2 linked regions of the Arabidopsis thaliana genome follow. The protein of the gene in region 2 purifies or fractionates together with the protein of the main gene of each other region. This does not show direct contact. Each region holds a gene or a part of one and is shown on either strand. Other genes may lie near its edges.

The links.
Region 1: the proteins of AT3G01890 (region 2) and ARP4 purify together in Arabidopsis thaliana (affinity purification with mass spectrometry; 2 studies listed by BioGRID, with this or other methods). This does not show direct contact.

The regions. Positions count from the first base shown.
Region 1 is NC_003070.9:6,346,310-6,357,421, reverse strand, and holds ARP4 (actin-related protein 4), read right to left. Parts: upstream 9,375-11,112; 5' UTR 9,224-9,374; coding exon 9,211-9,223; intron 9,122-9,210; coding exon 9,030-9,121; intron 8,915-9,029; coding exon 8,750-8,914; intron 8,673-8,749; coding exon 8,599-8,672; intron 8,524-8,598; coding exon 8,443-8,523; intron 8,353-8,442; coding exon 8,292-8,352; intron 8,155-8,291; coding exon 8,105-8,154; intron 7,963-8,104; coding exon 7,908-7,962; intron 7,703-7,907; coding exon 7,625-7,702; intron 7,548-7,624; coding exon 7,494-7,547; intron 7,420-7,493; coding exon 7,366-7,419; intron 7,297-7,365; coding exon 7,236-7,296; intron 7,081-7,235; coding exon 7,029-7,080; intron 6,681-7,028; coding exon 6,614-6,680; intron 6,489-6,613; coding exon 6,426-6,488; intron 6,342-6,425; coding exon 6,279-6,341; intron 6,183-6,278; coding exon 6,120-6,182; intron 6,025-6,119; coding exon 5,960-6,024; intron 5,872-5,959; coding exon 5,803-5,871; intron 5,702-5,802; and 3 more. Other genes in the region: AT1G18470 (Transmembrane Fragile-X-F-associated protein), read left to right, coding at 1-20, 111-185, 273-342, 487-567, 667-746, 937-1,015; AT1G18460 (alpha/beta-Hydrolases superfamily protein), read right to left, coding at 1,451-2,396, 2,477-2,552, 2,645-2,697, 2,778-2,834, 2,925-2,993, 3,100-3,383, 3,463-3,868, 3,957-4,130 and 1 more; AT1G18440 (Peptidyl-tRNA hydrolase family protein), read right to left, coding at 9,736-9,849, 9,925-10,001, 10,085-10,143, 10,323-10,396, 10,482-10,532, 10,646-10,713, 10,935-11,019, 11,090-11,112. UniProt on the Arabidopsis thaliana protein: Involved in several developmental processes including organization of plant organs, flowering time, anther development, flower senescence and fertility, probably by regulating the chromatin structure.
Region 2 is NC_003074.8:305,888-314,983, forward strand, and holds AT3G01890 (SWIB/MDM2 domain superfamily protein), read left to right. Parts: upstream 1-4,119; 5' UTR 4,120-4,444; coding exon 4,445-5,769; intron 5,770-5,833; coding exon 5,834-5,885; 3' UTR 5,886-6,186; downstream 6,187-9,096. Other genes in the region: AT3G01870 (hypothetical protein (DUF946)), read left to right, coding at 1-1,140; AT3G01880 (vacuolar sorting-associated protein (DUF946)), read left to right, coding at 1,895-3,673; CYP94B2 (cytochrome P450, family 94, subfamily B, polypeptide 2), read right to left, coding at 6,472-7,962; SOX (sulfite oxidase), read right to left, coding at 9,032-9,096.

The sequences.
Region 1 (11,112 bases), on a different chromosome or scaffold from region 2:
TTCTTGCACCATGGTTCCAGGTGACAAACACGTCTGTCTATTTTCCCAAAAGTTTTAATTTACAAAATGTAGTACTAACAAAAAATCAATCAATCAATTCACTTGTTCAGGCTATTAGGTTGGTGGTCAATTGACGAAGGAAGCCGGGAGGAACAAGCTCGACTGTACTTTGATCAAGAATCTGGGTTAGTTAGTATATTCCAACCTTCTATATGGTCAAACAAAGATGTTATGGGATCTGCTGAAGATTTCATTATAATATAATTGTGCAGTTACAATACATTCAGTGGTCATCCGCCTGAGATAGTCAAGAAAATGCCAAAGGAAGATCTTGCAGAAGAGGTAACTTTACCTCTCTGGCATTTTTTTGTTTCCCAATTCAGTGCTGATATTAACTTTAGGTTCTCTTTGTTGTTGAATCTTGTTTCTTCTAGTTTCAGCATTGCTTAAGTGTTGTTTGCATTCAATCTAATTTGATATCTCTAGGTGTGGAGACTTCAAGCAGCACTTGGTGAACAAACAGAAATCACAAAATTCAGCCAGCAGGAATATGAAAGACTGCAAAATGTATATTCATTTATTAGCCATGATGTTTTTGTAACTTTCTTGTTTCGATTTTACTTTTTCCCTTTGCTTAATCCTGTGTCAATGTGTCTTCTACTCCAGGAGAAAGTGCTGTGTAGGGTTTGCTTTGAAAAAGATATCAGTTTGGTACTGCTTCCATGTAGACACCGTGTTCTCTGCAGGTAAAGATACTTGATCATGTTACACTTAAAATTTTATGCATTTGCGCTCAATTCGTCTAGAAATACTGTACAAAGAAACTAGGAATCTATGAGGACTGAGGTCATATCAATATACTCATTGGACTCAGTGTCATACCTGACTTAATGTCATTGTTCACAATTTTTTGTTTCTGTGCCATTTTTGTTGCAGAACCTGTGCAGACAAGTGTACAACATGTCCAATATGTCGTATAGACATTGAAAAACGACTATCTGTATACGACGTATGACTGTGTTAACTTTGGCCCATGATCAAGAGTAGGATTTGTGGTTGATGCTCCAGACAAACATTCCAGTTTACCAACCATACTGTTTCCCAAACTTCTGATGTTTTTGCTGAATCTTTTTGTTTGTCTGAATCAGCAGCTAGTATAAAAAAAAGTATAGGTGTATACGTGTATGTATTTTTCTGTAGGAAACCTCATTCAAACTTTAGCTGTAACATACAAAGTTTGTATAATATCCATCTCTTTTTTGTATAAATCACAAACTAAGTTATGCTTTAATGTCCACGACTTAAATTGTTATGGAAAGTGACACTGACATAAATAGAGATACCAAAAACCATATTCATATATACATAAATTGTTTAAAGCCGACTTTCGTGAACAAAAAACATTACAAAGACGACAAACATAAACTCTATAAAAGCCTCTTCTAGTAGTTCACAGATGAGGTTTGCCTGTTTCCATTTTCTTCTTCAGCTTCATCCCCTTCTTATGAACCGTCTGAGTCTGCGTTGGCTCCACGAGAAGTAACCGCGACATCACATACGCCAAAAGCTCTTCACGGTGAGAGAAGGTAAAATCCAAATGAGCATACTCAAACTCATTGTAAGAAACATCTACTCCTGAATCTCTCATCACCCTGTAATGTTTCCTAACCATTGAAGGTCTAATCACTTTGTCTTTCTTTCCAGCTACTAAATCCACAGGCACATCGATCAACCCATAAAACTCCCCAAGATCGAGCGGCTCAGGGGACCCGTAAACATCCATATTAGCTGAACTGCTACCGTAATCAAACATCTTGAACTTACCGCTATGTTTAATCTGTGCAAGATGCTGAGCCACACGGAAGGATATACCTGGCATATCGTTCATGTTATAGTGAGGCAATCCCATGACTCCAACCCAGTTTGAGCTATCTCCGCCAACTACATAACTCATCAATGTTTGGACTAATCCACCAACAGCAGGATAGTTATGGAAATCTCGAGCTAACTTGTTGAGAAGCATCCGGAAGAATTTAGTGGGGATGTAGAAAGCAGGAACAATCCGAGATAGTACAGGACCCAAGAAAAGGAACGTGTACTCCATCAACGTGAAACACATGTTGGAGTCATAGTGAAACCCAGCAGGCGAAAGAAGGATCAGTCTCGAGAGTCTGTGCGGTTTCTCTTCGATTTTACGGGTGATTACATACATCAGAACCGCGGCACCGCCTAAACTGTGAGATACAACACAAAGCTTATACGGTTGATCCTCGTTTACTACCTCTTCCATAGTAGGCTGATAAAGTTTCAGTTCTGAAGTTTTGATTTCGTGAATCTTCTCTATCATTGCTGGGATATCTTCCGTTGCATGTTCATTGATGGAGTAACGCCAGAAACTGCATGTTTTGAGGATTCATCAATAAGAACTATACAAATATCAAATCCATAAAGAAGCCGTTTATTCTATACTACTCACTCTTTTGAGGATATGTTTTTTTTCACATGATCTCTTGAAACTAAACCACGAAAGTTCCCTAGGAAAACATCGTAGCCTGGCAAGAAAAGCAGAGTAAAACATCGGTAAATCTTAACTTCATATTTATCATACAGTAACTTGGGAAACTAGGAATATTTTGGCACGGACCTTGATCATAAGCTGCAAAAGCTGGTGATCCAACAACACCATTTGATACCCATCTGAAGATAAAGGTCCAGATGAGAAACCAAGGCAAAACATTTCCTGACAAGTCATCAACGAAAAAGACAATGAAACTCACCCCATTGAAGAATCCATTACACCATGCTGCAAATAAACAGCTTTCCTCGCATCTCGTCTGGAAAGACATGATGATTACATTTTAAAGGAACTTACAGAAACATAACAGACTATAGAGAAACTTACTCAACCATAATAGATTCTATACCTTGGTATCCTTTCCAAGAGAAGACCATATCCATCAGATGTAACAACACGAATAGCTTCATATGGATACCTATCAAGATTATAAGAGAAGTTAAATCGAAAGGGCAAATAGTTGAGTAACAGCAGAAGTAAAAAACAACTATGCACGAAATATCTTCTACACATTCCCCCCTTACCCAAGCTCTGTTATAACATCTTGACAGGTCCGGGTATCTGTATTGTATAAGCTCGTTGTGGTTCTTCTTTCTGTAAGAGATGAATCGTTATCTCCTAGAATGGCAGTCTGAATGATCTCATCATCCGAAACGTCACCATAGTTTCCTTTAGAGCTGTGACTGGAGGAAGAGAACCATGATAAAACTATTCCAAAAGTTTCTGATGGAGAAAGAAGAAGATGTGCCGCCTTGTGAAAGAAATCAAATATTGTTTCTATAAAGATCTCGATACCAAGCTGAAGATCCTGCCAAAGTAGAACACATAATTGCGTAAGAAAACTCAAAAACAAGAAATGTGATTTAAGTATGCCCATCAACACTAACCTCAATGACTCCGCGTCTTTTATCAGTAGTTCGGTTGGGCACGTCATGCTCTTTCCCTGAGATAGCTTTGCTAAAACAAGGTCTAGACGAATGTTGGTACCTTCCTGGGCTCAGAGGCTGCATTCTTGAATTTCTTCTAGCTAAAAGACGTAAAAGATATAATGGTACCCATAGAAGGATCCGGGCAGGTAGTAAAGCCCACCAGACAATGAAGGTTATCCAGTCTGTCCAATGGCTTTCGTAATTGGCAGGAAGACTAGCCCAAGAGCGGAGTGAGCTTTGAGACAAGGGTGATGGAGGCGTGGACATGCCATCACTATCATCATCACCAGAGGAATAGTCCAAGCTAGAAGTATCAGAATCCACAGAGAGTTCGTGAATGAAGTGGTTGAAAGAAGAGACTCCACTGCAAAACCACAGAAATCAAAAGAGAGTCGAATAAGCTGCTATAAGGTAACCACAAAGAAGTATTAGAGAGTTGAAGAGAGTTTTACTTATGCATCCAGCGTGGTAAACGAGGTCCACGCAATGTAGGCCTAAGCTCCCATCCATGAAGACCTTCAAGAACATTGGACTTTCCGGGCAAAAGTGTCAAGAGAAGCGCAGAAAATCCATTAATGCATCTTGCAATGTTGTTCAAAGACTCATAAGTCAGAGTTTTCACTGACCTGCACTAAAAACCAAAATCATTAGTTAGCTTAAAACTATTTTAGACTAACACAAACAATCCTAATACCAATCAAAAACCCACAACGAACACCAAAAACCCAAACAGACAAGCATTAAACAAAGAAAACTATCCGCAGATACAACGAGAATCGCTGTAATTATTACAGGACAAAGAGTCAATATGTATACTTTCTTCAAAGAGACAACAAACCTTCAACAACTAACTAAAAATGGTAAATCAGAAATGTATCCCCAAATTAGTAAAACTATATACCACTAAATCTCAAGATTAATGTAAATCAGAAGATATAAGATATAGACTTAGCTCCTAGCTCCACTATAAAACCACTGGCTCAAAATTTGGCAACTTCCATATCTAAAGCAAATCGAATTACTATTTGAGAAAATCTAATCGAATTAAAATCCAAATTAAGGAAACAAAACAGTTGAAATCACATATCAAATTACTAAAACCACTAAACATGCAACTAAAAAAACAAATCAGAAATCACAAAATCAATAAGCGTGCACAGACTAATGGTGAAATCGAAAAGAGAGAGGGACTCACTCTTTTGTGATAGCAAGAGCATTATCGACGATCCTCTGCATGATTTTGTTTCCCAATATAGAAATACAACAAAATAAAATAAAAAATCTGAAAAATGAAAGAAGATAGAATCCAAAAACCAAAAGCCCAGAAAAACTGAGAAGAGTCCCACAAAATCAAAAGCCGTAATCGGGAATCGAAGAGAAAAGAAACGTTTTTTTTTAAATTGTGAGTGTGTCTTTGGATTGAAATCCGATATATTAGGGGACGCCGGCGATTCTTACCGTCCACAAGAGAAGGTCGGTAAACGTTATTTAGAGAGACGAGACAGAGGTTGACACGTGGGCGTATATAATTGGATGATTTAGAATGTGTCATCTATTGGATTTTGCATGCGGATATGGAGACATGACACGTAAGTCTGTAGTGGCGGAGAAGTTACGTCCATTTTGTCTTTATTATTATTCAGACCATTTTATGATTAATAAAAGTATTATTACTTACCAATATCAATTACATTATTTATATTATTAATAATCTTGTGGTTCAAAACATTTTGCTATTCTATAAAATATGTTCGAAGACCGGAATTTTGGAACTTCGAAGTCATTAGCTTTTTGAGAGGCACGATAAAGCTGATTTTTTCTTCTTTTTTAAAAAAGAAAAAGAAAACTTATGAAGCTGCTTTTTGTAGTTTCGGATTTGTTATTTTCTTGTTAATTTTGTGGATTATCTTGGTTCGTAGTAACAAAACGTGGACGGTCTTGATTGTGCGAAAATCTAATAAAGCAACGAAACTTCTTCCACATGTTTTTATGTTTTTAAAATAGCACTATAATGCTTGTTAATGACACTCATTCTAAAAGGTTCAGGCGGAATACTAATAATCTTCAAGGAACAACGATGCACAATGAAAATAACACATTAGTTTCCAAGTTTCGTCTTGTCAGACTCCACATAATCTGAAACTGCCTGCTTTAAGGGCATTTTCTCTGAATGTAGGAAGCTCCATGTTCCTCATACCTGCCATTTACACCAAGACCCCAAATCCGAGTGTCAGGAGAGAAAACAAACTATAGTTTCTTTGCGAGTCTGATTAATGGAAAATCAGAACAGAGACTTACTCAGACTTGGAGAACCACATCTGTTGAAATGAGCCTAGTGATGCCAATATACTCCCTCCTATCCATACACTGCACATACATAACATGTTTGTTGGTTGATCCAAGCAAAAAAATTTGGGTCTCATTATAGAGGAAGAAGTGAACACTAAATCCAGACCTGAATCTTCTTTCTGTTGTGTTACCGCTTGCCAACACTTTAACTCTAGCTGAGTGAGGAGACTCCTGAAACAAAGATAGAGGGACCAATGAATGATTTTCGCCATCATAAAAACTGGGATAGCTTTAAAGACAGAGGAAAAGAGTTTAGGACACAATACTTCGATCAAGTCCTTTTCGAGACGTTCTTTCAGCTGTTGCATTGACGATGTGCCACCAGCAAGCTGGCATAATGCGAGAAGAAAGGAAATGTTAATCATCCACATCCAACGAAACTAAAAGTAGGGGTATTTAAGAGTTGGCATTGATTGCTATTTTACCAGTATGCTACTATACAACTCTCTCCGGATGTCTACATCACATTTGTTGATGCTCTCCATGACCTGTACAAGTCAGTAAAATGGAGAGTAAAGTTAGAAAAAGTTAAGAGATGGAAGCTTTGCAATGACTAAATACCATGCATATACCATGTGTGGTAACCCACGAACGGAAGGAATCATCTCAGCATACTTCTCCATTCCAGGAATCGTCTGCAAATTGCAATAAAAACGGAGAAGAAACCTTTGATAAATAATTCGAGGCTCAAAACGCTCAAGATAAGAAACAAAATGTCTTCAGAATCTTCTGTTGAATTTATCGTGCTCAAATGGTGTACCTGGACTATGGACGGGTTGAACATCACATCAGGAACTTTGAACCTATCAGCACCAATCTCGAGCGTCCTTCAACAGACATGGTTAATAAGATATTGAGAAAGACTACAAAAATTACAGGTGCAGCTTCCTGTCTTCAATGAAGCTAGCACTTTTTCTTTTAACTTAATTCTCATTATGAACATTAGGTTCCATGCAGGTTTCCAAAGCAATGTCTGACTCTTCTAAACTTTTATGCCCAATGGCTTTAATGACTCAGATCCAACTAAGCACTTATCTCAGCTTAAACAAGGTTCAGAGCAGTGGTACATTTGGCTAGAAACTAAGCTCAAACCTTATACGTAGAAAACAAAAGCAACAGTAGCATGTACATTTGAGGCACAAATAAACCGAAATAGACATATAAACTGAGCTTACTGGCCATCAGGAAGCTCGTACGACGTAGTAGGGATGTTTGAATATGATTTATCTGCAGATAAATGCATCACATCAGAAAAACTAAGGCTATGCGATCAAATGACATTGAAAGATAAAAAGTATCTAACGTTCAACTCTCAAGCAACTTTAAACTTTGAAATAAAACAAATTTATGAAACCAGAGACAGACAGAATAACATAAGGTACCGTCATAGGGAGTATCAGGAACTCGACAAATGGAATCCTTGATATCACCCACTATCATCCTCTGTTGAAACAAATCACCAAATTATCACAACTGAAATTTTCAAACGAAGTTTCATAATCAATTACAGACCTGGCAGAAGAGTTTGTAGCTTTCCGTGGTGTCAGGAATATCCACATCTTCAACCTGCAAGGATTCAAAGGGAGGAAATTAGAGACTATTCACTGCTAGTAGTTTCATTCACTGATCCACATATGCACCTGGAATTCCCCTGCTCGTACTTCCTTCCTCTTGAAAGAGTATCTAGGTCTTATCTGCAGAAAAAATAACCAGTATCACTCAGATAATTTGGCTTAAAAGAAAAGAACAGTGAAGAATTTTTTTAACCTACTTTAATTCCTTTACTCTCCAAGCTTTTCAGTAGGCAGTCAGTGAGAAATTCCCCTCCAAGTGGAGACGATACAACAGCCTGCGAATAAAAGTATGGTCAACAATCGGAGAATCACAATCTACATCAATGCTGTAGGTCATAATTCACATGGATGAGAATTTATAGCAGCTACAGATGACTATGGAAACGAGAGATGGGAAACTTTCTCCTGCAGTACAAAATCCAAACCCAAAGAAACAGCATCACAAAGCTGAATTCTTACTAAATCGTGTAATACAAGTACCTTCTGAAGAACATAACCATCATGCACCGGTGAAATGGTTGTGGATCCTCCACCGCTAGAAATACAATAAAGTGTCATCAGTGCTTCTCAAATTATACACCATACAGAACAAGGTAGACTTTCACAGCATATAGAGCAGAAGTGGAACATTAGTAGCTTCTACATACTAGAGAAACTTTTAATACTTAAAGTCTTACCAGTCAACAACCAAAGAAGTAGCACGCCCAGTAGCAAAAGACGTGAGAACCTAGCACCAAAAACACCAAATTCATGTAGATAGTTAGACATCTGATTACACAAGAGCTGACTGGATATCAACATTACAGTGAACGTCATATAATAATCTATCAAAAAGAATGATGACCCAAGGGAGAGGGAATATACAGGGTTCTTAGCCATAAACAGTGCCGGAACTTTGTACTTTTCAAACATTAGCTCTGCCGCCCTGTCAAGCATATGATTTGAGAAAATCAGTAACACACCAAGATAAAGCAACAGTGGTAATAAAGGATATTTCAAAGCAGATAAATCATACTTCTCTCTCTGCTGTTGAGTGTTTAAAGGAGGCTCAGCTAGCAGCATTGGATGCTCCGTAGGATCAATCATCAGACAACTCCTTAAAAGACAAAGTTTTTTTAGAGATGAAATGCAAACAACAATTAAGAGAAAATATAATGCTTTACACATTTACTTGAAAGCATGTTCCCATATATTGTCCACCAAATCCCAGTCAGAAACGATGCCATCTTTTATAGGTGACAAAACCTGGTGAGAGAAAATGCAATCTGTAATTTCACCAACAAAGTTATAAACTTTAACATTAATCAAGGAGAAAAACTAACCTCCATATGATCTCTGCGGTAGCTCATGGCTTGAGATCCTACATAGAGCTTGCGTTTGCTCTTTTCCTTTTCAGACTCGGTCTTCGAATCCTCAGAGTTCGAATTAGTCTTTGTAGAATCAACATCCACATCCATTGCCTCTACACCATCTACTGCCCCAATAACCTTATGAACACATCAAAAAAAAAACTAAGAGTCTGAAGATACAAGGGACTTGAGCAAATCTACAATAACACCATTAAGCTTATAGTGACATAAAATGCTGGTAATTAAGACTTACGGAAGGGAAAACGGCCTTGGGAGCATCTTCACCGGCGTAACCAGCCTTGCAAGTGTGCGAACCCAAGTCAACCACAATAGCTGACACTTCATCTGTGAAAACCCACCACGGAAAAAAACAGCTCAGGAATGTCTCAAAAGATAAACGACAAAGCAATTCAAGGGTTTAAAGAGAAACCCACCTCCGCCGTACATGGCTGCAGCGAACGACAAGGGTGGAGCGGTTCTCTATCTGAGCTTTGTCGCCGGAGGGTTTAAACACGGGACGGGGTTCTCTGTAATCTCGGATCCAGCTGAATCGGGTCGACTTGGTTTTACTGAGTTCGAGTTGTGGGGACCACAAAACCTCTCATTTAATCCGTCGGGTTTAAATTATTCAAGAAACTAACCGAACCGAACACAATTTTTCTAAACCGAACCAACTTTTGTGACCACCCTTTTTGCAGTAAACGAAGCTGATTTATTGCCAAATAAAATGTCTATGCTTAATGAAAGTGTATAATTTAAATTACAGCCGAACAAATACTGAAATCCATATTTTCGAGTTACATAATAGAAATTATGATAAACAAATAATCTGGTTATCTTTTGATGTACAATTTGCTCAAAAAGGATTCAAGTATGGAACCAAAAAAAAATTATTAATGAATCAGCAAGAACACTTTGTAGTTTGTTATATGAATATATGTAATGTAACAATGTCACTTCTAACTGAGTTGCTCCATAGATTTTCGAGTGTTGACAAATGTTGCACTTTTGTTGAACCCCTCAAGCAAAAGAATCCTTATTGCCTCTAACCCGGTTTGGAATGTGTGATCCAACTGCAAAACCAAAAACAATCAGGTTATGTCTTTCTGAAATTTTTTGAGATAATTATGGGATAAATCTGCTTCTACCTCTTCCTGTTCCTGTCTATTGAACTGGCGGAGAACAAAATTGGCTGTATCCATCTTCCCTGGAGGACGTCCGATCCCTGAAATGAAACATTCGACAATTTGCAAAACCAGAGAAGAAAATGGGAAGATATGTCGGAGTGGAGAAAAATGAGAACTGTACCTATTCTTAGTCGAGGAAAATCACGGCTACCTTTGAGGCGGTCTATAATACTTCTCATCCTGCAAGTAAAAGAACAACCCATCATGTTTTCTTGTAGAGTTTCTCTATGATTTGATAGTGAAACCGCAAACTATTATCCATCCACATTGCTTCTTAAGTAAAAAGTAAGACAATACTTAAAAGTTAAAACACAAATGAAAACATCAACAGGCCAGATAGAGAGTGAAAAGCATTGTACCCATTGTGGCCTCCGTGACCACCTTTTGGCAATAAACGTAGTTTACCAAAGGGCAAATCTAAATCATCGTAAACCTGAAAAAGACAAAAAAAATTAAGACGGCATATGCACTCTAGAGCCAGAATTTGGAGAGTAAGCGAGAGAGAAGGTTAAGTATACCACAAGTACTTGCTTTAACGGGATCTTGTAAAATGAAACGATTTGTCCAACCTTCAAAGAATTCCAGCAATCATAAACAGAAAGAATCAAAATAACAAGTGATAAAAGTTAAAGAGATTGGTTAACTAAATAAACCAAAGTTTGTTTCCGATGAGCTCACTTACAGACTCACCACTTAGGTTCATGAAAGTTTGTGGTTTAGCCAGCATAATCGGTATATTTCCAATAACGCCTATGATAAAGGAAAACAATACCCAAAGTTAGAAACAAACCAGAGACAGAAAATGATATTTATTTCAATATTCATTCTCCGGAAACAGTTAGCCATTGTTTCTATCACCCTCATCAAACATTTGAGACGTATGAAATTTGAAAGTTTCAAACTTTGAGATAAGAAAACCATTTCAAAATGAAAATTCACAATGGAGAAGATAAGAGAATGAAAAAGAGAACCTTTCCCAAACAAGGCCTTGAAGTTAACAGTGTTCATGGAGATGCCTTCTGCATCAGCCAAAGCGTCCACCATCTCAAAACCAACCTGCAATTCATGATCACGTTACCGAGCTGAAAAGGAAAATGCAAAGTGAGAAAGCAAGAGAGAGACATACGTTGTGGCGCGTGCCCTGGTACT
Region 2 (9,096 bases):
CAAGAATCTATAAGCTGCGTTCGATCCGATCTTACGGAACAGAGTGAAACCGATACATGGGTTTGGGGGACAGAAGAAATGACTCTGTCTAGTTTGAGACCGGCCAACAGAGGAACAGAAGCAACAGGTGTACACACAGGGACATTCAGCTGCCAGCCATTGAACATCCCTCCTCCCCCTCCTCTGTTTTGCTTGAAAAACACAAAATTTGACTTGTCTAGCATGCCAAGCCATAATCAAACTACCGTTTTGTTTCAATCGTATTCTCCTTGGATATATTTGCATCCAGATGAAGATTTTATTTCTTCCTCTGTCGACTGGTTTTTCTCCAATGGTGCCCTGTTATTCCAGAAAGGCAACGAATCCAACCCCGTCCCTGTGCAACCGGACGGTTCAAACCTTCCGCAGGGCGGTTCGGATGATGGTTTATTCTGGTTAGACTATCCGGCTGATAAGAACGCAAAGGAATGGGTTAAGAGGGGAGACTTAGGACACACGAAAGTGTATCTACACATCAAACCAATGTTTGGAGGCACTTTCACTGACATTGTCGTGTGGATATTCTACCCTTTCAACGGTAACGCCCGCCTCAAGTTTTTATTCTTCAAGAGCCTGTCGCTGGGGGATATCGGCGAACATATTGGAGACTGGGAACATGTTACGTTGCGCATCAGCAACTTCAACGGAGAGTTATGGCGAGCATACTTCTCTGAGCACAGTGGGGGAACTCTAGTGGAGGCATGCGATCTTGAGTTTCAAGGTGGAAACAAACTTGTGAGCTACTCGTCTCTTCACGGACACGCAATGTTTTCAAAACCAGGACTTGTGTTGCAAGGCGATGACGGAAACGGCATAAGGAACGACATGGCAAGAAGTAACAAATTCTTTGACGCAGGTGTTGCTTATGAGCTGGTTGCAGGACCGGGGATTCAGGAGCCACCGTGGCTCAACTATTTCAGGAAATGGGGACCACTTGTCCCACATGACATTCAAAAGAACCTTGAAGGTATCGCAAAGTCATTGCCGGGACTTTTGCGGAAAAAATTCAGAAATCTGATTAACAAAATCCCTCGTGAAGTGCTTGAAGAAGATGGTCCCACTGGACCCAAAGTCAAAAGGTCTTGGACCGGTGATGACTAATTTTTCATTCATGTCTGATTAAGGTTAACAATTTATTACAATTGGGTACACTTTTCTTTATTTAGTTATTACATATTACATCTCAGTTTTTGCCCAAAAAAAAAAAGTTATTACATCTCATTTTTTCAAGAATTAAAGATTGGCATAAGTGTTTTTTAAAAAGGACTCGAACCCAAAAATAATAATTAATATTATATGGATATCTTGTCTTATTAATTCCATAATATATATATGATGTGGTTGAAAATTAATAAGTGAAAATGATTAAAAATCTGATGTGATTACTTATTTAAGAAACAAATTAATCTCCTCTAAAAATCAAATTCAGAATTTGTGGGAGACATTAGTATCCCCTTTTCCTACAAAAAAAAAACAAGACAAATTAATCTCCTCTAAAAATCAAATTCAGAACCTCCTCGTAGCCATCTATGGTATCATGTTTCTTTGACTATCACAAAAAATATAATACATTCAGATTTTGTTTTTAAGCTTATGAAATCAATTTGGAAATTTGGTATAAATATTTATATTCAATGTATATGTATAGGTTAATTATGGAATTATTTTCATATTGCAAAATATACAATATTTTGTGCTCTGATCATTTGTTGATTTTTTGCATAATTGTTTTTTGTAGTCATCAACTGTTTCATGTGTTCCTTTTCTGACAGAATTATAATTATATATATGTAATATATATGTAGGGAATGAAGGTTGCTCACCTAATCTTAAAATGATTAACTGACCAAAGAAAATGCAACTCTTGTATGAAACCTACTTAAAATTTCTATTGTTTTTTGTTTTTCTATTTGTTAAGCAATTGTCATGGGCAGAAACTGGAACTAACCCTTTGACCAACATTTCCTACGTAAATTCTTTAGGGTATCCATTCAAATATCCTTATCTTTCGTCTAATGGTTTACCGGTGGAAACAAGCTTTAAATTTCCTAGTCCTTTGCCTAGTATGCCTTCCGATGGTGGAAATTTTGGCAAAAGAAGCATTGATATGGGAGGTCTTGAGGTTACTCAAATCTCTATCTCAAACTCAACATCACACAGAGTGTGGAGAACTTATGAAGGAGGGCCGGATAACATGGGAGTCAGCATCTTTGAACCAACTACTATTCCTCGTAATTTCTTCAAACTTGGCTTCTATGCACAACCTAACAACCGACAGCTTTTTGGTTGGATTCTTGTTGCAAAAGACGTATCGGGAAGTAATTTAAGACCACCAGTCGACTACACTGAAGTTGGAAACACTACAACATTGCTTATCAAACAAGAGGGGCCTGCATATTTTTGGCAGCCCCTATGTCCTAATGGATATCATGCGGTTGGTCTATATGTCACTACTTCTCCTATGAAGCCCTCTTTGGGACAAAATTCTATAAGCTGTGTTCGATCTGATCTCACAGAACAGAGTGAAGCCGATACATGGGTATGGAGGATAAAAGATATGACTATTTCTAGTTTGAGACCGGCCACGAGAGGAGTAGAGGCGACAGGTGTGTTCACAGGGACATTCAGCTGCAAACAACTAAACTTTCTTCCTCATCCCCCTCCTTTATTCTGCTTAAAAAATACAAAATTTGACTTGTCAAGCATGCCAAGCGAAAATCAAACTAGAGTTTTGTTTAAAACGTATTCTCCTTGGATATATTTACACCCAAAAGAAGATTTCCTTCCTTCCTCTGTCAATTGGGTTTTCGCTAACGGTGCCTTGCTACACAAGAAAGGAAACGAATCCATCCCGGTCCCGATACATCCAAATGGTTCAAACCTTCCACAAGGAGGTTGCAATGATGACTTGTTTTGGTTAGATTATCTAGTCGATAAAAAGGCTAGAGAAAAGGTTAAGAGGGGAGATTTAGAGAGCACTAAGGTGTATCTACACATCAAACCAATGTTTGGAGCTACTTTCACAGATATTGTAGTATGGCTATTCTTTCCCTATAACGGAAATGCACATTTAAAATTTTTGTTTATCAAGAGCCTGTCGCTAGGAAATATTGGCGAGCATGTTGGAGACTGGGAACACGTTACATTACGCATCAGCAACTTCAATGGTGAGTTATGGCGTGTTTACTTTTCTGAACACAGTGGAGGAACTTTAGTGGATGCATGCGATCTAGAGTTCATGCAAGGTGGAAACAAACCAGTAGTATATTCGTCTCTTCATGGGCATGCAATGTTCTCCAAACCTGGAGTCGTGTTGCAAGGTGGCGGCAAAAGTGGAATAAGGAACGACATGGCAAGAAGCGACAAATGCTTTGACGCAGGTATTGGATATGAAGTGATTGCGGGACCTGGCGTGGTTGAGCCACCGTGGCTGAATTATTTTAGGAAATGGGGACCTCGAGTCCATTACAGGATTGACATATTTCTCAACTCTGTCGCAAAGATTTTGCCCATCTTTTTACGGAAAGGTTTGCGAAAACTCATCAACAAAATTCCTTTAGAAATGCGGGGTCAAGATGGTCCAACTGGTCCCAAAGTTAAGGTGACTTGGACCGGTGATGAACAATATTCTTAGTGTTTTATTGTGAATTATTGCATTATGTTATATATCAATAAGGTTTACATTTGTCGAAAATAATCATTGTAATTTCTAATTAGTAACAATAATACTATAGAATCTGTTAAGAATTAAGATGTAGATGTGCTAATTAAAAATTTTAGAGTTATTTGGGAAAAAAAAAGGTTGTCATGATCTTAGTTTTAGAGTTAAAAAATAGTATTTATCTGGAAATAAATTGGTGTAGATTATTAAGAGTTTTTTTAAAAATAATTTGGATTAGATTTAATTTGATTTTTTACCTATAGTCATGGAATTAGATTTATTGCCGAGAAGCAATATTGATCCATCTAAATATGGACCCACGAACCATGGCCGTTGGGCCTTTAACTAATGGTTGGGTTTTGACCCGGTTGAAGAATTCAGGTGGGCATTGATAGGTCCGCCGTGTCTTTTTTTTTTTTTTTTTTTCGAAGAAGAATCATCTTCATCTTCTTCTTCCAGAGGGAATTGAATTTGTTTTCTTTCTCCTGGAGTTGAGATTATACGCTTTCTGCTGTATTGAAGAAGAAGAAGTTGTGTCCTATATCTTACTATTTAGATTTGGGGGGAAATTGATTAGGGCTCTATCCTCGCGCAGCACTAAATTAGGGTTACGTTCGGCTTAGAAAGGGCAAAATTCGATAGAGTGTGTGTGTTGTGATTTTGATGAGGTTCTTCTAGCCAAAATTACTGAGTAACTACTGTCGACACCAATTTGGGATTGTATTCAATTTTTTGTGATCAGCAATGTCTGGGAATAACGAGTTGAACGCACTAAAAGGGCCTCAAAGCTCTCTGCCTTGGCCATTTGGAATGGCCTCTGCATCGTTTGCTCCCTCCCACATGGCCCCTCCTAACTTTCAACCTCAGTTTCAGCTCTCTCAAGACCAAGGGATTAGTGCTCCTGGAAGAAGGTTCCCACATAAACCTCCCATTGGAGGACCTCCTGCTGTTCCTCCTAGTATGGAGTTGACTCCAGCTTCCAGGAAAAAGAAACATAAGCTTCCAGACAAGTCCTCCTTGCAGGAGCGCGTTGCTGCCGTCTTGCCCGAGTCTGCTCTCTACACACAGCTTCTTGAGTTTGAGTCTCGGGTTGATGCCGCTCTCTTCAGAAAGAAAGTTGACATCCAAGACTCCCTTAAGAACCCTCCTTCCATTCAGAAGACCCTTAGGATCTACGTTTTCAACACCTTTTCCAACCAGATCCCTGGTCCTGACCCTCCCACATGGACTCTTAGGATTTTCGGCAGGGTCCTGGATCCTGACCACACTGGTGGATTAGTTCAGAATTCAAACCCACTTTATCCCAAGTTCTCGTCTTTCTTCAAAACGTTAAAGATATCCCTGGACCAGAGCCTGTATCCTGAGAACCATCTGATCGAATGGAAAAGGGATCGATCGCCTGCTCCTCTGGAAGGGTTTGAGATAAAGAGGATAGGGTGTCAGGAGTTTGCAGCTACTATACTGTTGGAGATGAATTACGTCCCTGAGAAGTTCAAGACTTCTCCTGCTTTGATGCAAGTTTTGGGCATTGAGGTTGACACTCGCCCAAGAATCATTGCGGCAATCTGGCATTACGTGAAAGTCAGGAAACTGCAAAACCCAAACGACCCTTCTTTCTTCAACTGTGATGCTGCTCTCCACAGTGTTTTTGGGGAAGAGAAGATGAAATTCACTATGCTCTCTCATAAGATATCTCAGCACCTATCACCTCCGCCTCCCATTCAGCTTGTACACAAGATCAAGCTTTCGGGGAACAATCCAGCCATCTCAGCATGTTACGATGTGCTTGTGGACATACCAGCACCGGTCCAAACGGAGCTTTCCAATCTGCTCGCTAATCCAGAGAAGAACAAAGAGATTGAGGCATGTGATGAAGCCATATGCGGAGCCATAAGGAAAATCCACGAGCACAGAAGGAGACGGGCGTTTTTCTTAGGGTTTAGCCAGTCACCGGTGGAATTCACCAATGCCTTGATGGAATCTCAGACCAAAGATCTGAAGCTTGTTGCAGGAGAAGCAAGTCGAAACGCTGAGAAAGAAGGCCGATCAGAGTTCTTCAATCAGCCATGGTAATAATCTCTACTGTTCTGCTTTTCATCACTTGTCTTACAATCACTGAGAATTCTCTTGCAGGGTGGAGGATGCTGCAATACGTTACTTGAACCGGAAGCCAGCAGGCGGGTAAGATGCAGATGGGCCAAGAAGTTCATGAGTTCACTACTTTTACCTAGAAGTCACTTAGGTCCAGGACACTTGATCAGTGTCGTTCCTTATAGGTTTTTTTTCTAAGTGAAACATTGTTACTCAAGTTTCAAGAGTTTTTACTTTGGTTTGTAGCTCGTGCATCATATGCGACAAAATATAAGAAAGATAAATACTTGACTTTTTCACTTTCTTTTGTAGATTCCACGTACTGACTTCCAATTGGCTCGATCTAGTCTTGTAGAATAATAATAACGTACGTATTATTATGGATAGAAAAAGACCAAGGCATTGTGCTCTCACGTTGAACTTTTAATATAGTCATCATCCCAAGATGATAACAAATGCAAAATGGGTCATTTTCAAACAAAAATATAATAACTGAGCTAATATTGGTTGAATTTTCTTCAAAACTCAAAAATTTAGTAGAGACTTTATGACTTGGATTGAAAAAAAAAAAAAAAAAGTTGAGTTGTTTACCCAAAGGAGAAAATAATTTTGGGTATGAATGATCATAGAGACGTTTTACATAAAATAAAAAGCCATGATAATTGACTTTGTTTGTATATTCAAGGGGAAAGAGAAGGATCTCTCCGATGAACGCGGACTTGCATCCCACCAGCCATGTGAGCCGTGAGCATTGGCACAAAATCCGGTTTATCCGTAGGGATCGGTTCAATCTCAAACCGGTCAAGTATGGAAGCCACAATATACTTCATCTGCACGTACGCCATCTCTTCCCCAAGACAAACCCTTGGGCCGGCTTGGAAAACCGGAAACTTGAACGGATTCACCTTTTTCAAAACTCTGCAGCAGGTTTTATCATAAGACTCAGCCCACCGGTTTGGTTTAAACTCATCCCAATCTTCCCCCCATAGCTCTTCCATTCTCCCCATACCATATGGAAAATACGTTACCCGGTCTCCGGCACGCACCAACGTACCGTCTGGTAACCGGTCATCGGTTAAGGCGTGTTTGGAGTCCCACGGCACCGGAGGATACAATCGCATCACTTCACACAAACACGCTTTCAACAAACTCAGTTTCTTCAATGATTCGTAATCAAAACCCCCCGTTATCTCCTCCTTGACCGATCGGATTTCACTAACCAGATCGTGCTCGGTTTCCTCGTGACCGGTGATCAACCAAAACAGCCGTGTGGCTACCGCCGACGTGGTGTCCCTCCCCGCCATTATGATACTTATTACCATATCTCTCACCGTCTCGTCGCTTTCTCCGGCGACGATCAACCGCGAGAGAAAGTCTTGGTTGGCAGGCTTCCTCTTCTTATCCCGAATGATCTCATCGACGCAGTTATGGACTTCTCCGACGGCTTTTCTGAGCTCTTTCTCAGATCCAAAACCGACCAGTCTCTTAAACTTCCACACAAAAGACAGCGGTGCGGAACCGCGTCCAGCGCTGACCGCAGAAGCTGTCTGAAAGGCTCTGTCGAACTCAGAAACGGGGGAGGAAGGGTTTAAAGTGCAACGATCGATCCCGAGGAAAACAATGCAAACAATATTGAAAGTGAATCTACGGAGAAGCTCCTGAAGATCGAAGGGTTGTGAATCTTCCGCAGCTGCGTTTAGAAACGCTAAGAGCTCCTTCTCCACCTCGTTTCTCAAAACGGTGACGTATTCTCTCAGCGACTTTGGGGTGAAGTCGTGTGTAGCAAGTCTCCTCTGCTTTAACCAGAGGTTTCCGTCAACGTTGAAGATCCCGTTGCCGAGAAAATCTCCGAGGATCTCCGTAAAAGGTTTGCCTTTGGGATAGTTGTCGAAGTTTGTTTTGAGGATATACTCCACGTTCGAGGGGTTCGCCGTCACTACGGTTCTCCGTGCAGCTAAGCGGCGAATGACTACCGTCCGACTCGGGGATTCGGTTAGGAGCTCTGTATACCAATCCAGTAACCGGTTTCGGTTGGTATAGAATGAAATTAAGCATCCGATAACCGGGTATGTTTTCGGTGTAGAGTTGCGGCAAGAATATATCACATGTTTTCCCGCAGAGACAAGCAACAGCACAAGGACAAGAAGAAGAATAAAAGTTGAAGCTTCCATTGTTGATGAGCTTCAAAACGACAAAAGGAGGCAGGAGGAAATAATGGTCAATACTCAATAGAGATTTGACGCACGAGCTTGAATTCATCATCTTCATGGATCCCATTCATATAATATTTTAGTATATGCTTTGATATCTATGTATAAACTACTCCTATTTTCAAAGACTTTCCTCAATAATCTCTAGTTACTTTCCATTATTTTTTACCACCCAAACTTCATCTCATTTGTTTTTTTTTCTTAAATAATCCTCTTGCTTCTTCAATCTTCTACACACTAAAGTATATTATTTCATCGAATGATAAAAGTAATTGAGGTTGTAACATTACGTTCGATATTCGACAAGTGTATGAATTTAAATCATTCTTCAAGATCATATTCTACTAAATTAGTTTTTTTAATTTTATTTTATAAATTGGATAGATTAACGCGAAAATTGCGGTGACACATGCAAATATCTACTCTAATAAAATATGAGAGGAGGAGGAGAAGCATAAAAATAGATGTCGCATATTCGAGAAAAGAGAATGGACAATGAACAAAATAGGCAGGTAACACGAGATGTATATAACAAGTTAATATTGTCTTCTCGACGTTCTCGTGATGCAATAACTCGGATTAAAATAAAATGTAAAACGTTTTTCCGTCAAATATGATTTAAAAAAAAAAAAAAATTGTTACTAACGGCTAGTTTACCCCCAAAAAAAAATGATTTTACTAACGGAGGAGAAGTGTTTCGAAAATTCGACAATGATTAAGAAGAAAGTTAGATCAAACGAACAGGATCACAGGAAGAAGGTACAACGTGAAGCAATCAATGAGGCTAAAATAAAATATTGAGAAATTTGCTCAACCATATGATTTCATTAATATATAATAATGAATAACAGTTCTATCATATAAATAAATAATTTATAATCCACCACATGACAACAGATGGGTTTTCCCATTTTATTTAACTATAAACAGTATTTTGCTCTCACAGATCCACAAGGACAAGCATATTCAAGGATGTTTTAGTTCTTAAAGAAAAGATAAAGAGAGACCAGACGCATAGTGGTAACTTGGTCTACAAGTTAGAGTGGCCAAGCCGGAGAAGGACACGGTGCCACGAAGTGTTGAGAACCCCTCTTA